3 linked regions of the Oryzias latipes genome follow. The protein of the gene in region 1 purifies or fractionates together with the protein of each later gene. This does not show direct contact. Links are inferred from orthologs where the notes say so. Each region holds a gene or a part of one and is shown on either strand. Other genes may lie near its edges. The genes, in order: map3k4, gadd45b and gadd45a.

The links.
Region 2: the proteins of map3k4 (region 1) and gadd45b purify together in Homo sapiens (co-immunoprecipitation; 3 studies listed by BioGRID and IntAct, counting the BioPlex papers as one, with this or other methods). This does not show direct contact. The link is inferred for Oryzias latipes from reciprocal best matches to the Homo sapiens genes MAP3K4 and GADD45B.
Region 3: the proteins of map3k4 (region 1) and gadd45a purify together in Homo sapiens (co-immunoprecipitation; 3 studies listed by BioGRID and IntAct, with this or other methods). This does not show direct contact. The link is inferred for Oryzias latipes from reciprocal best matches to the Homo sapiens genes MAP3K4 and GADD45A.

Annotation. Positions count from the first base shown.
Region 1 is NC_019873.2:25,298,083-25,301,732, forward strand, and holds part of map3k4 (mitogen-activated protein kinase kinase kinase 4), read left to right. Parts: coding exon 1-615; intron 616-851; coding exon 852-1,112; intron 1,113-2,509; coding exon 2,510-2,662; intron 2,663-3,650. UniProt on the Homo sapiens protein: Component of a protein kinase signal transduction cascade. Activates the CSBP2, P38 and JNK MAPK pathways, but not the ERK pathway. Specifically phosphorylates and activates MAP2K4 and MAP2K6.
Region 2 is NC_019862.2:22,490,662-22,494,238, reverse strand, and holds gadd45b (growth arrest and DNA damage-inducible protein GADD45 beta), read left to right. Parts: upstream 1-1,602; 5' UTR 1,603-1,806; coding exon 1,807-1,850; intron 1,851-1,970; coding exon 1,971-2,072; intron 2,073-2,157; coding exon 2,158-2,380; intron 2,381-2,476; coding exon 2,477-2,590; 3' UTR 2,591-3,054; downstream 3,055-3,577.
Region 3 is NC_019875.2:6,098,480-6,102,377, reverse strand, and holds gadd45a (growth arrest and DNA damage-inducible protein GADD45 alpha), read left to right. Parts: upstream 1-1,511; 5' UTR 1,512-1,869; intron 1,870-1,985; coding exon of another isoform or gene 1,986-1,986; coding exon 1,987-2,087; intron 2,088-2,175; coding exon 2,176-2,395; intron 2,396-2,586; coding exon 2,587-2,700; 3' UTR 2,701-3,332; downstream 3,333-3,898. UniProt on the Homo sapiens protein: In T-cells, functions as a regulator of p38 MAPKs by inhibiting p88 phosphorylation and activity.

The sequences.
Region 1 (3,650 bases):
GTTATAGAACTCTTGGAGGACGTCGAAGCTTTATACCCCTCATTGCAGGCTCTACAGAAGGACTATGAAAAGTATGCTGCTCGAGACTTCCAAGGCAGGGTGCAGGCACTCTGTTTGTGGCTTAATATCACCCAGGACCTTAATCAGAAGCTGCGTGTAATGGCCACGGTGCTGGGCCTTCACGATCTCTCTCGCATTGGTTGGCCCGTCTTTGAGATCCCCTCCCCTCGCTGTTCTCACGGAAATGAAGAAGCAGAAACGGAAGAAGATGAGAACGACTCCACGGCCACTTTCACACCTGAAAGTGACGGCGAGGACCGAGACGTCGAGGAGGTTGAGGCAGACGTTGCACAGGGAGATTTGTCTCCCGTCCTGACTCCAAAATTTGCTCGATTATTGTCAGGAGACGAGTTTCTCCCGACCGCAGCTTCGGGAAATCCTGAAGCGACTGCGGGATGTGAAGCACTGTGTCCCACAGCCATTTACAGGCCGTTTGTGGATAAAGCTCTGAAACAGATGGGACTGCGTAAACTGATCCTCAGACTGCACAAACTAATGGACCGCTCTCTTCAGAGAGCCAGAGCAGCTCTGCTGCAGCAGATTCCTGCTCTGGAAGTAAGACTCAAACACTCAGTTAGCAGGTTATTTTAGATCATCCTGCTGTGAGCAGCTGTTTGAATGAATGCCAGAGAATATGTGTTCATTTGAATTTTATTCAGCTTCCAGTGAGAGGAAGACATCTCTTAAATATTAAATAATTCTTTTGTGTTTTATGGAGTCAATATTGTTTTAGTGGCAGACGGAAAAAGCGAGCAGAAACTCCAAGCTAACTCTCATTTTTATCTCTGCAGTTTGCTGACTTTCCAGATCCCATGCTGTACAGCGATTACTTGCCGGAGCTGTCTCGTCATGTGTCCTATAGCGATCCCACTGATCCAGAGCAAGGAGTGGATCAGGTGTCCAGGGAGGACTTGCTGGACATGGATCTCCCGTCCTTTCGTCCAGCATTCCTGGTGCTGTGCCGAGTCCTCCTCAATGTCATTCACGAATGCCTTAAACTAAGACTTGAACAGAGACCTGCTGGGGATCCGTCTCTGCTCAGTATAAAACAGGTAAGCAGCTCATCAAAGTCTTCATTTTTTTGGTTTCTTTGCACGTAATTAATCAGATTATTAGGCTGCAGGTGATCCATTTTTCCATCTCATGTTTGCTTTAATGTCTACTTCTTTAGTCAAGTAACAGTTTGCTTACTTAAGATTAGTATTTGACTTTAAATAACTTTATTTTCCAAAGAAAATTCATGGCTGTTGCAGTAACCAATTAGTAGGGCTTTGGATCGTTACTTAGGCGGCGATTCACTAATCGACATCAACGATTCACAGATCAAACCACAATTCTCACTTTCCATTATGTTTAAATGGTTTCATTATGCATTTCTCTATACGTAATGTACAAAAATTAATATAAAATCTATTTAAACACCATTTTTTTACAAAAGTTTTGAAGGAAATAAATGTATTACATGTAATGTACAGTTCCAGTAGATACATAAAAATTATGTCACTTTATGTAAGCTGACAACAGTGTTTACAACAGACATGTTTTATAAACCGACTTTTTTTCCCATCTTCAGTGAAAATGTCAGAACTACAAAACTTTAGATGAACATTTTGCAGATGTGTTCTGGTGCGGACTATCAGCCACGCTAGCATACACTCAAATTACGTCAAAAATCTGATCATGAGATTTTAAAGACCCTATTCGATTAAATTATAGATAGATAGATAGATAGAAAGATAGATATGATCTTGTGGCATTTTTCCAAAAGATTAAGAACACATGTAGAGAATATTAAGCCTTAAATAAGATTTCTGAGTATTTCTTTTTTCAAATCGTGAATGAGGAGCAGATGATAAAAGGTCTATTGAAAAAGATCATATTTGTGACATAAAAAATATGCTGGATATTCCAGAAGCTCCCTGTTCCTCTCCATTTTATTCAACCACTTACAGACAACAAACACAATTGTTGTTTTTTCTCGTCTGACTTGGCATTTGGCTCAAAACTGTATGGCTGGATAGCACTGATATTATTATATTACATTTCTGTTGCACTGGTAATGTTGTGAGAGGCTTTAAGCACTTAAGGGCTTTATTTCACAAAAATTAACTTCTGTCAATTGTTTTTTCATCTATGAACAACACTTGAGTGTTTTACTTAGAAAATGAGAACCTTCACCTACACTTAAGACTAAATATCTGTGGTTTAAGTGTATATACCTAAAATCCAGCATTATGTAGATTTAGAGCGATAATGAAGTACGTTTTTTTCTTCTATCCTTTACTGTATTTATAGATTTGCTCGCAAATCGGCTATCACGCACGTCATCGATATTTGCCCTCTGTTATTGTAGAACAGATTCTGAATATCCGAGTATTCGGATACTCGTTACAGCCCTACCCCTCGGTGCGTAGAATTGCCCTGACATGTATTGTTTGTCCCTCTGCAGTTGGTGCGTGAATGTAAAGAGGTTCTGAAAGGTGGCCTTCTGATGAAGCAGTATTATCAGTTCATGCTCCGAGGGGTGGCCACTGATGCTCAAGGCTTACAAACCAGTGCCAGCATAGATGAATTTGAAGAGGACCTTCACAAGATGTTGGTGGTAAGTCCTGCAACCGTCTCCACACCATTTAGATCAAGTTAACAAACCTAACAGAAGCAGTGAAATGGAAAGAAAAAGAAAAAGTTTAATTTTAAATGTATGGAGGATGAAGTGTACGTGCAATTTTGATGTAATCGCCATGTTTACTCTCACTAATTTCTGTTTGGGGTTGCAACTAAAAACATATCTTTTTAAAATAATTTCTGTGTTTTATCGTGTTTTACTGTGAAACACTTTGTAATTTTTATCTTGATAGGTGCTCTTCAAATAAAGTTTATTATTATCAACTGTTTGGTAAAGACGGAGGTCACCCTGGGCAGGTCGCCAGTCTATCAATATGGTCAAAATAAGAATCAGAAACAATCGCTTGGGGGAAAAAAGGATAACCTTGTGAATTAGTGGCACAGCAGACAGGCAGACTAGCTGACAGCATCTTATCTGGTGAGCCCAAGACAGCTTTGTCTTCTCCACTATCAGGATTCAAAGAAACTCGCACAACACTGATAAGTAATCATGACGAAGAATGATATACAAGAGACAGGAAGAGAGATTAGAATTCAGGGAGAGGTGATGGACTGTTCTTTGATTTCCAACAAAATCCACACAAGAGCTGGTCAGTTCATTTCCTGCACCGTGGTGACTTTCTGCAGCAGGGAGGTGGGAATGTTGGAGAACCTGAATCCCATACAGATAAGATGCCTGACATAACATCCAGACTTTGATGGATGCAGTCTGAAGCCTTCAGGCCTCAGAGTTGGTAGTTGGAAACCATGATGCAGCAGCTCGCGTTCACACCAGCCTGTTTTTACTAATCCAACACAACCCTGGATCTACATCATCCAGAGCTCCATCATTCCCAAATGTATATGTTGTGGAAAATCACTAAATAACTTCACACTTTCACAGAAATGTGAAAGTGTTGAGCAAGTTTATCATTGCTAAGTGTTAAAACTCTGAGTTGCACGCAAAAAGGAATCAAATTTCTGCT
Region 2 (3,577 bases), on another chromosome or scaffold:
CTTTATTTTCATGTAACTTGGTTGGATTTGCCATTAGGTATTTTACTATTTAATTCCGTTGCATTAACCGTTTTCCTAAACAGTTTCATATTAGGAATTGGGAAAATATTATATAAGACCACCAGATGGCGCAATGACACCAGAACCCAGCAAAAGCTGCAGAGGGCCACTTGTATTTTACAATTTATTATTTTTAAGCATTAACTGAATTAAATTTCACAGAAATATATAAATACATACACAAGAAAGTAAAATAGGGTTTTAATGAGGGTTTTATTGAAAAACATGTTAACAATAGAAGATTTAAAGATAAGAAAAACACTTTGGCTGGAAATGTTTAAGAACTAATGTTGAAATATTAAAGAAAATTACTATAAATCACAATATTTTAAGTAAAAACTGACTCCTTGTGCATGAAGTTTGTTCACTCAATAAACCTGTGCAGTTATTTTCGTTTTCAGTCTTCCAGATTTATGTTTTTAAGGGGCATCTCCAGTCATTTGTGTTTAATTCAGTTAACAACGTCTTTGAAATAGTTTTAGATGCTTATCGCTCTGAAATGAAACCCACTTTTTTTCTTTTTGATAAGCTTTATATCCTGGACCTCAAATCAGAAATTCCCTAAAAGGCCACCTAAAAAAATAATAAAAATAAAACAACCTGCGAGTTCGCGCAAATTTCCCACGTAAGAAGCCCCCTTCAAGTCCCTGAGGAGCACCAGGAATCCCCCCCCCTCCCCTTTCTTCCTGCAACCAGACTGGTTTTGCAGAAACTTTTTTCCTGCAAGATTTCCTTTTCCCCCGCTAGGGGGCGATCGAGAGCTGTGTGTTGGGGCAGGAAGCTCTGATGAAACCTGGAGCTCATGAGTGATGCAAGCTTGCTGAAACACTTGAGTGTAAGTTTACGCACAGTCTGCAGTCAGTTTGATTTATTATTTTTGACTGTTTTTCTGGATGGTTCTGCATATTGCAGTTGCATGGTGAAAGGAGATTAATGGGATAATGGTTAAGGGGGGGGGGGCGGTAAGGAGCGAGTATTAAGAAGCAGAATGAACTTGCAAAAATCAAAACCACACTTTTCACTTCTGCTAATATTAAAAAGCATGATCTTTTACTGTTATTTGGTATGCGTTAAAAAAAACACTCTTGCACAACTTGCAGCGCCGGGCTGCCGTTACACAAGCTGGGGCTCGTGCTCTGACACGGGGCAGTCACCTGCCATGGTCCTAAGCTTTCAAACAAAAAAGAAAATCATCTGATTCCAATTCGAGACTTTCCTCAGGCAGGTGCTGCACCGTTGGGTGGTTGTGCAGTTTTGTTTTTTGTAGCCCCCTAAGTTTCTGGTGAGAGGAAGCAGGAAGATCTGGAAATTCCTCCACTCAGATCGAAAGCTCCCAGTAAACACGCTTAGTGGAGAGAACGGAGACATACGACGAGGAGGAGGGCTGAGAGCGGGGGATTCTCCGAAACCACCCACGTGGGAGCACCGGCAGTTGACGCCCGCCCAACCAATCGCTGCGCTCCCCATCTGCGGCGAAACCAATCAGCGAGAGCAAGCGTCTGGGCGCGTCAAGAAGCGCCGATCCGCCTATAAAAGCGGACAGTTTCGACTGTAAGAGGACAGAAACCTTCACACAGACTAAGAACACGGACTAAGAACTCAATCACGGACGGAACAACGATCAAAAACCTATCTGGATTACATTTGTTTTGCCGGGACTCTACCTTTGGATCTAAACGCGTCTCAGCATCGCTGGGGATTCTGTTTTTTATCCTGGAGCTTGTGGATTATTTTACTGACTTCAGCATGACTCTTGAGGAGGTTGTTGGATCCAGCAGTACCGACAAAAAGTAAGTGTCTGAAAAGCTGTCTTTGCCCTAATTCTCCGTTAGTTGCAGTTTAGCGGTGTTGTTTGAGATGCGTTACGCAGTGCGCGCCCCGGTTTCTAACCGCCTCCTTGTTTTCTGCAGGATGGAGACGGTGAGTCAGGCTCTGGAGGAGTTGCTGGTCGCGGCTCAGAGGCAGGACTGCCTCACAGTGGGAGTCTACGAGTCCGCCAAACTCATGAATGTGTAAGTTCTTCTTCTCCACGAGACGCGTCTGAAATGGCTCCAAAAGGCGCGCGCTAACCCGGCTTTCTTCTGTTTGCTCCTGCAGAGATCCAGACAGTGTGGTTCTGTGTCTTCTCGCCACCGACGAGGAGGACGCGGACGACATCGCGCTGCAGATCCACTTCACGCTGCTGCAGGCTTTCTGCTGCGATAACGACATCAACATCCTCCGGGTGTCCGGCATGAGGCGCCTGGCGCAGCTGCTGGGGGAGGACACCGAGAACAGCAACGGGAACGAGCCCCGGGACTTGCACTGCATCTTGGTCACTGTAAGTTTCTCCTTCACTTAACGCACCACTTTCAGTGCATCCACAGGACCGTGTTGAAGCATGAAAATGACCCCCCCCCCTTTCATCTGTTTGCAGAACCCCCCCGTGCAGCCGCTCCAGTGTCAAGCTCTGCAGGACGTCAGCAGCTTCTGCGCAGAGAGCCGCTGCAGGAACCTGTGGGTTCCCTGCTTGGAGCTGAAGGACCGCTGAGCGCAACTGAACCTTTCCATTTTTGCCTTTTGCCTACCGCCCGAGGAGCGGTGAGAAGAAGCTGAGAACAGCCAAGACCCTCGTGGTGAAGAGGGGGAGCACGACTCTCCTCCCCAAGGGAGCTCGACGAGCCTCAGTCCGCCTTTTAGACGGAATCACGGGAGCGCGTGGGATGATGGCGTCGGTGCTGAACCGCCGCGCCAGGAGCGCGATTGGAGGCTCCGGGTCAGGGAGCGTTGCAAGTTTTTTTTTTTTTTCTTAAACGAGGTGACGACAGCGGAGGCGTCACGTGACTGAACCGATGCATGAACGAGGAGCTGCAATGGACAGAGCCAGGTGTCTTGCTCACCTGTTTACGCACGAAACCTTCTGTTATTTAAGTGCACAGATTAATATATGAAAAAAATGGACCTACATGTTGAATCTCATTTATTTAAATAAATTATGCATTGAACAAACAGTGATTTCTGCCTTTTTTTTCCTTTTGTGAAGAGTATGATGTCACTTTCTGCTTCTCTAGACCCAGAGCAGTCTCTGAGAAGACATTATATAGAAGTTTTTCTACTAGATTACTTAGAGGTTACTACATTTATAGTTTAGTCATTGTTGAGACTTACAGGTGCAAAGTGGGGCCCTTTACCCAGAAGGATGACTTCAGGTGTTTAAAAAAAGTAGCTAATGGCTTTATTAGTGTTTAAAAAGAAAGAAAAAAACCGTTGTGGATTTATTTACATATTGACATTTGTGTCTAAAACAAAATAGGTTGATAGAAGCTGAGAGTATCAAAGCTGCTTGTCACAGCCAGAATCTGAGTGCACTACTGTACTTTACTGTAGTCTAAGGGAGAAAAAGGTTGACTTAGAATCAAAAAAGGCAAAAATGTAACCAATTGGACAGAAAATCTCAATTGACAAGTCTTTCTTTCTAAAAATCCTGCATTTTTTTCAGTCAGATTTCTTTTTTAGGTTTAGCCTCATATTTTTAAAC
Region 3 (3,898 bases), on another chromosome or scaffold:
ATTTGGCAGTTTAATCCCCCAATTTACCCCTTAATGTCACTGGGTCCCATTTTTAGGGTTGTTGGTATGACTTGGCCTGGATTTGCACTCAAAACCTTCCAGTCACGGGGCAGACACTCTTCCACAAGGCCACTGAACTGGTGTCGCCAACTCAACGGGCTCGGTTTTAACAAGTACCAGCTGAACCTTGTCCTCTAGGTTGAGATATGCCTGCATGTTCACTCTATGTTCAAAATGTGCTTTTCGAAGTTGTTTTTATTTGGGCGGTTGAGCAGGTTGTCCAATGATCAAAGAGTCGGCGGTTCGATCCCCGCTCTCCCCAGTCAACCATCGCTGTGTCCTTGGGTAAGACCCGCCTCCCTGCCTCCAGCGTGGCTCCACTGGTATGTGAATGTGTGTGAGTGTCCCGGTGATGGTCAGAGGGGGCATAGGCGGGAACTGGCAGCCACGCCTCTACCATCACCAAGTATGGAGGAGGTGCCAAGTCACTTCAATGCAACGGAATAGAAAATATTAAGCAGATTCGCTCAATAATCATGTGTTTGACTGATTTGAGAGCTTTGATATCAATATTTTAAGGTGTAAAAATGTTTCACTGATTTAATTAAGCAATGTGCAGTGTTAGTTTTTACAGTGTTGTCTGAGCCTGCAGGGAGTTTTGGAGACCCCAAAGTGTTTGGACCCCCCCCCCCCCCCCCCCCCCCATGCATAGCTTGAAGAGCAGTCAGGCTTTTTGGTACCAGCCTCTCTGCAGAACCACAGAGTCCAACAGGGGCCACAGACCTGTGGGAGAAACTGCCTTACTGTAGATCTGGAGCTCAAAAGCAGCGCTCCTGAACGAACCAATCAGAGAGCAGGATTCTGAAGTAGCGGTCCGCTGTCCTGTAGCTGACCTGAGGCCTGCCCTGTCCAGCCCTGAGGCCTGCCCTGTCCAGCCCTGCGGCAAAGGTTGAACCCTTTCTGCTGATGAATGTGAGCCACAGGTCAGCTCATCTGTCAAAAGGTCACTTTCTGTGATGAAACGTGACACTGGCGGGCAGCGCGAGGAGTCAGGAAGATTTAAAGATGGCGGAGAGTCAACAAGACGTTTAGCGCCACAGGTCCGTTCCGAACAGGACCAGGTTACTCTGGTTTCAGAGAAAAACCATCAGAGACTTTGCCCAACTGTCCGTCAGAGAGCTGCAGTTACGGTAGTAACTACACCGGACAAGACCCGCCCACCTCCGAGCATCTGTCCAATCAGACGCCAGGGATGTTTGCATTCAGCCAATCGCCGCAGACATGCAAAGAGTCCTCCGGCTCGCATTGTCCCGACCTGTTTTAATGTGAACTTACCAGAGGTATCTGTCAGTTACACCGCAGCGGGGTCAGTGCTTGTCTGTGTGCGTTGGACCCAGAAAACTCCAGGGACACTTTGTCACACCGACGGGTTTGGATTTAATGTACAGAATGACGTTTGAGGAACTGAACGGGGACTATTCTCAGGAAAGGTAACAGAAAAATACGCTACATCATGAGTTTTGTCGACACACATTAATGTTTCGTTCCTGTCGTTTGACTGCAGGAGTTTGTTCCGATTAAAAATGACGAAATTTTGACGATGAAGAGGGCGTTATTATTTTTACAGTTGAATGGAACTCTTTTGCAGGCAGTCGCGAGCGCACTTGTGTAACTGGCTAACAGAGAAATGGTCACGAGCGCACTGGTGTAACGAGCTAACAGAGAAATGGTCACGAGCGCACTGGTCTGGTGTAACTAGCTAACAGAGAAATGGTCGCGAGCGCACTGGTGTAATTAGCTAACAGAGAAATGGTCTTCCTGTGCGAACCGGCGCTGGTTCGGACTCTTTCGGAGCTTTTCGTGTTCAAAGTAAGTCGCGGAGTTAGTTTGTGATGGTTGTGTCTGTTTGCTGCCGTCGGAGCGACGCCGCCGGCCGGCGGGACGTGTCCCGGTTCCTGACCGCTAACTCGGTCGTCTTTCTGCAGGATGGATTCGGTAGCGAAAGCTCTGGAGGAAGTTCTGACCTCCGCGCTGCCTCAGGGCGCCATCACTGTCGGTGTGTACGAGGCTGCCAAATCTCTCAACGTGTGAGTAGGACGTGACCGCGGCTCTCAGCTGGAGGGGGGCAGAAAACGGGGGACCGGCCGGTTCTGAAACTTCTGCTTTCGTTCGCAGAGACCCGGATAACGTGGTTCTGTGCGTCCTGGCCACGGACGAGGACGACGTGAAGGACGTGGCTCTGCAGATCCACTTCACACTCATCCAGGCTTTCTGCTGCGAGAATGACATCAACATCCTGAGGGTCAACAGCACCCGGCGCCTGGGGCAGATTCTGGCTGGAGGGGGGAAGCAGAGTGGGGGGGAGCCTCTGGACCTCCACTGCGTTCTTGTCAGTGTAAGTTCTGTCACTGGGGGGTTCTGCACGCCCACGTGAGCGAAACCAACAGGAGAACTTGCCTGTACTTGCCCTTCTGATGCGGGCACGTGACTCCGCCCTCATGTGTCTATTCAGCTGAGATGTGCGTGCACGCTCACATGCACAGCCCCGTCTGCAAACACTCATTCTGTTCCCGCTCCTCTTTCCAGAGCCCACACTCAACATCGTGGAAAGACCCCGCCCTGAGCAAAGTCAGCCGCTTCTGCAGGGAGAGCCGGGGCATGGACCAGTGGGTGCCAATCATCTATCTGCCCGAGCGGTGAACCGCCGGGGGCAAAGACCTGCCTAAAAGCAGGAGTGGTGTGAACCCCAAGGACACATTGTACCATCCAAAAAGGTCCAATTCTGGAGGAAAAGAACAAAATCACAAAGCAAGAGGAAGTCAGAGTTAAAAAAATGAAGGGTGGGATTTCCTCTGTGAGCAGTTCTGTTTGGAGTAGCGACCGTCAGCCTTTATGAGCGAGATAACCCGTGGACGCGCTGGTGTCGCCGCAAGTTAGAGACGATAAACGCTTTAATGTGAAGCTGGGCAGAGGACAGACGGGCCTCTGGGCGGGTCTGAGCCAGAACATGCAGCTGGGAGTGGACCCCGGCTCGGGCCTCTGCAGACACAAGGCACTTGTGAAACACTGGACCTTCAGCCGTTTCAACAGGATTCCAGTTTTCTCCTGTTCACCATGAAGTTTAGCCTGTTCAAGAAGGAAAACGGCTTCAGGGAAGACTTTGTGTTCAGTGTTTCATTTACCTGCTGTTTTTGCAACAAATGAACTAGTTTCTTTGTTACAATTTAAGTTATTTTAATTCTATTTAAATGTATTTATGTTGTATTTTCTACCATTTGAAGTTTAGAATACAGAACAGGTGTTGCTGTCAATAAAAGCCGTTTTTGGAAGAACTTCCTGGACTTCTTCCCTGTTTTTGGGTTGTGGGGCGAACGCTGAGCTTCAGCAGCTGCAGTTGTAAAAGGCGTCACATGCAGATCCCCGGGGTCACGCCGGCCGCTGTGGCCTCTGTGCCGCTCTGAGCCAAAGAGGACAATGATCCACGGCCCCTCTCTGGACGGGCTTTGCTTGGGTCAGCAGGAACCCGTGCATTCATCCAAACAGCTTCTCTTTTTCCTCGCCTTCTCGTTTCCCCCGTAGTGAGTGAGCGCCACAGGTTAGTAACTAGTTACTAGGATGGGTAACTAGTTCCTCATTCGTTCTCAGGTCTCTGAGGGTTTCCCTGCTGCCGTTTGCAGCTTCACTGAGGAGCAGATCCCTGGAAACACCTGGAACCTTTCTTTCTGCGTGTCATCTATTGTGAAAGCTGCTCAGGCCACGCCCACACTCCTCCGCTTTCCTGCTGTGTCATCGGTGCTCACACAGGCAGGTGATTTTCCAGAGGGGGGGGGCGGCGGCGTCATACGGCTGATGTAAGACGGGCCACCCCTTTGAAACTCGGGAGTCACGAGAGGAGAGG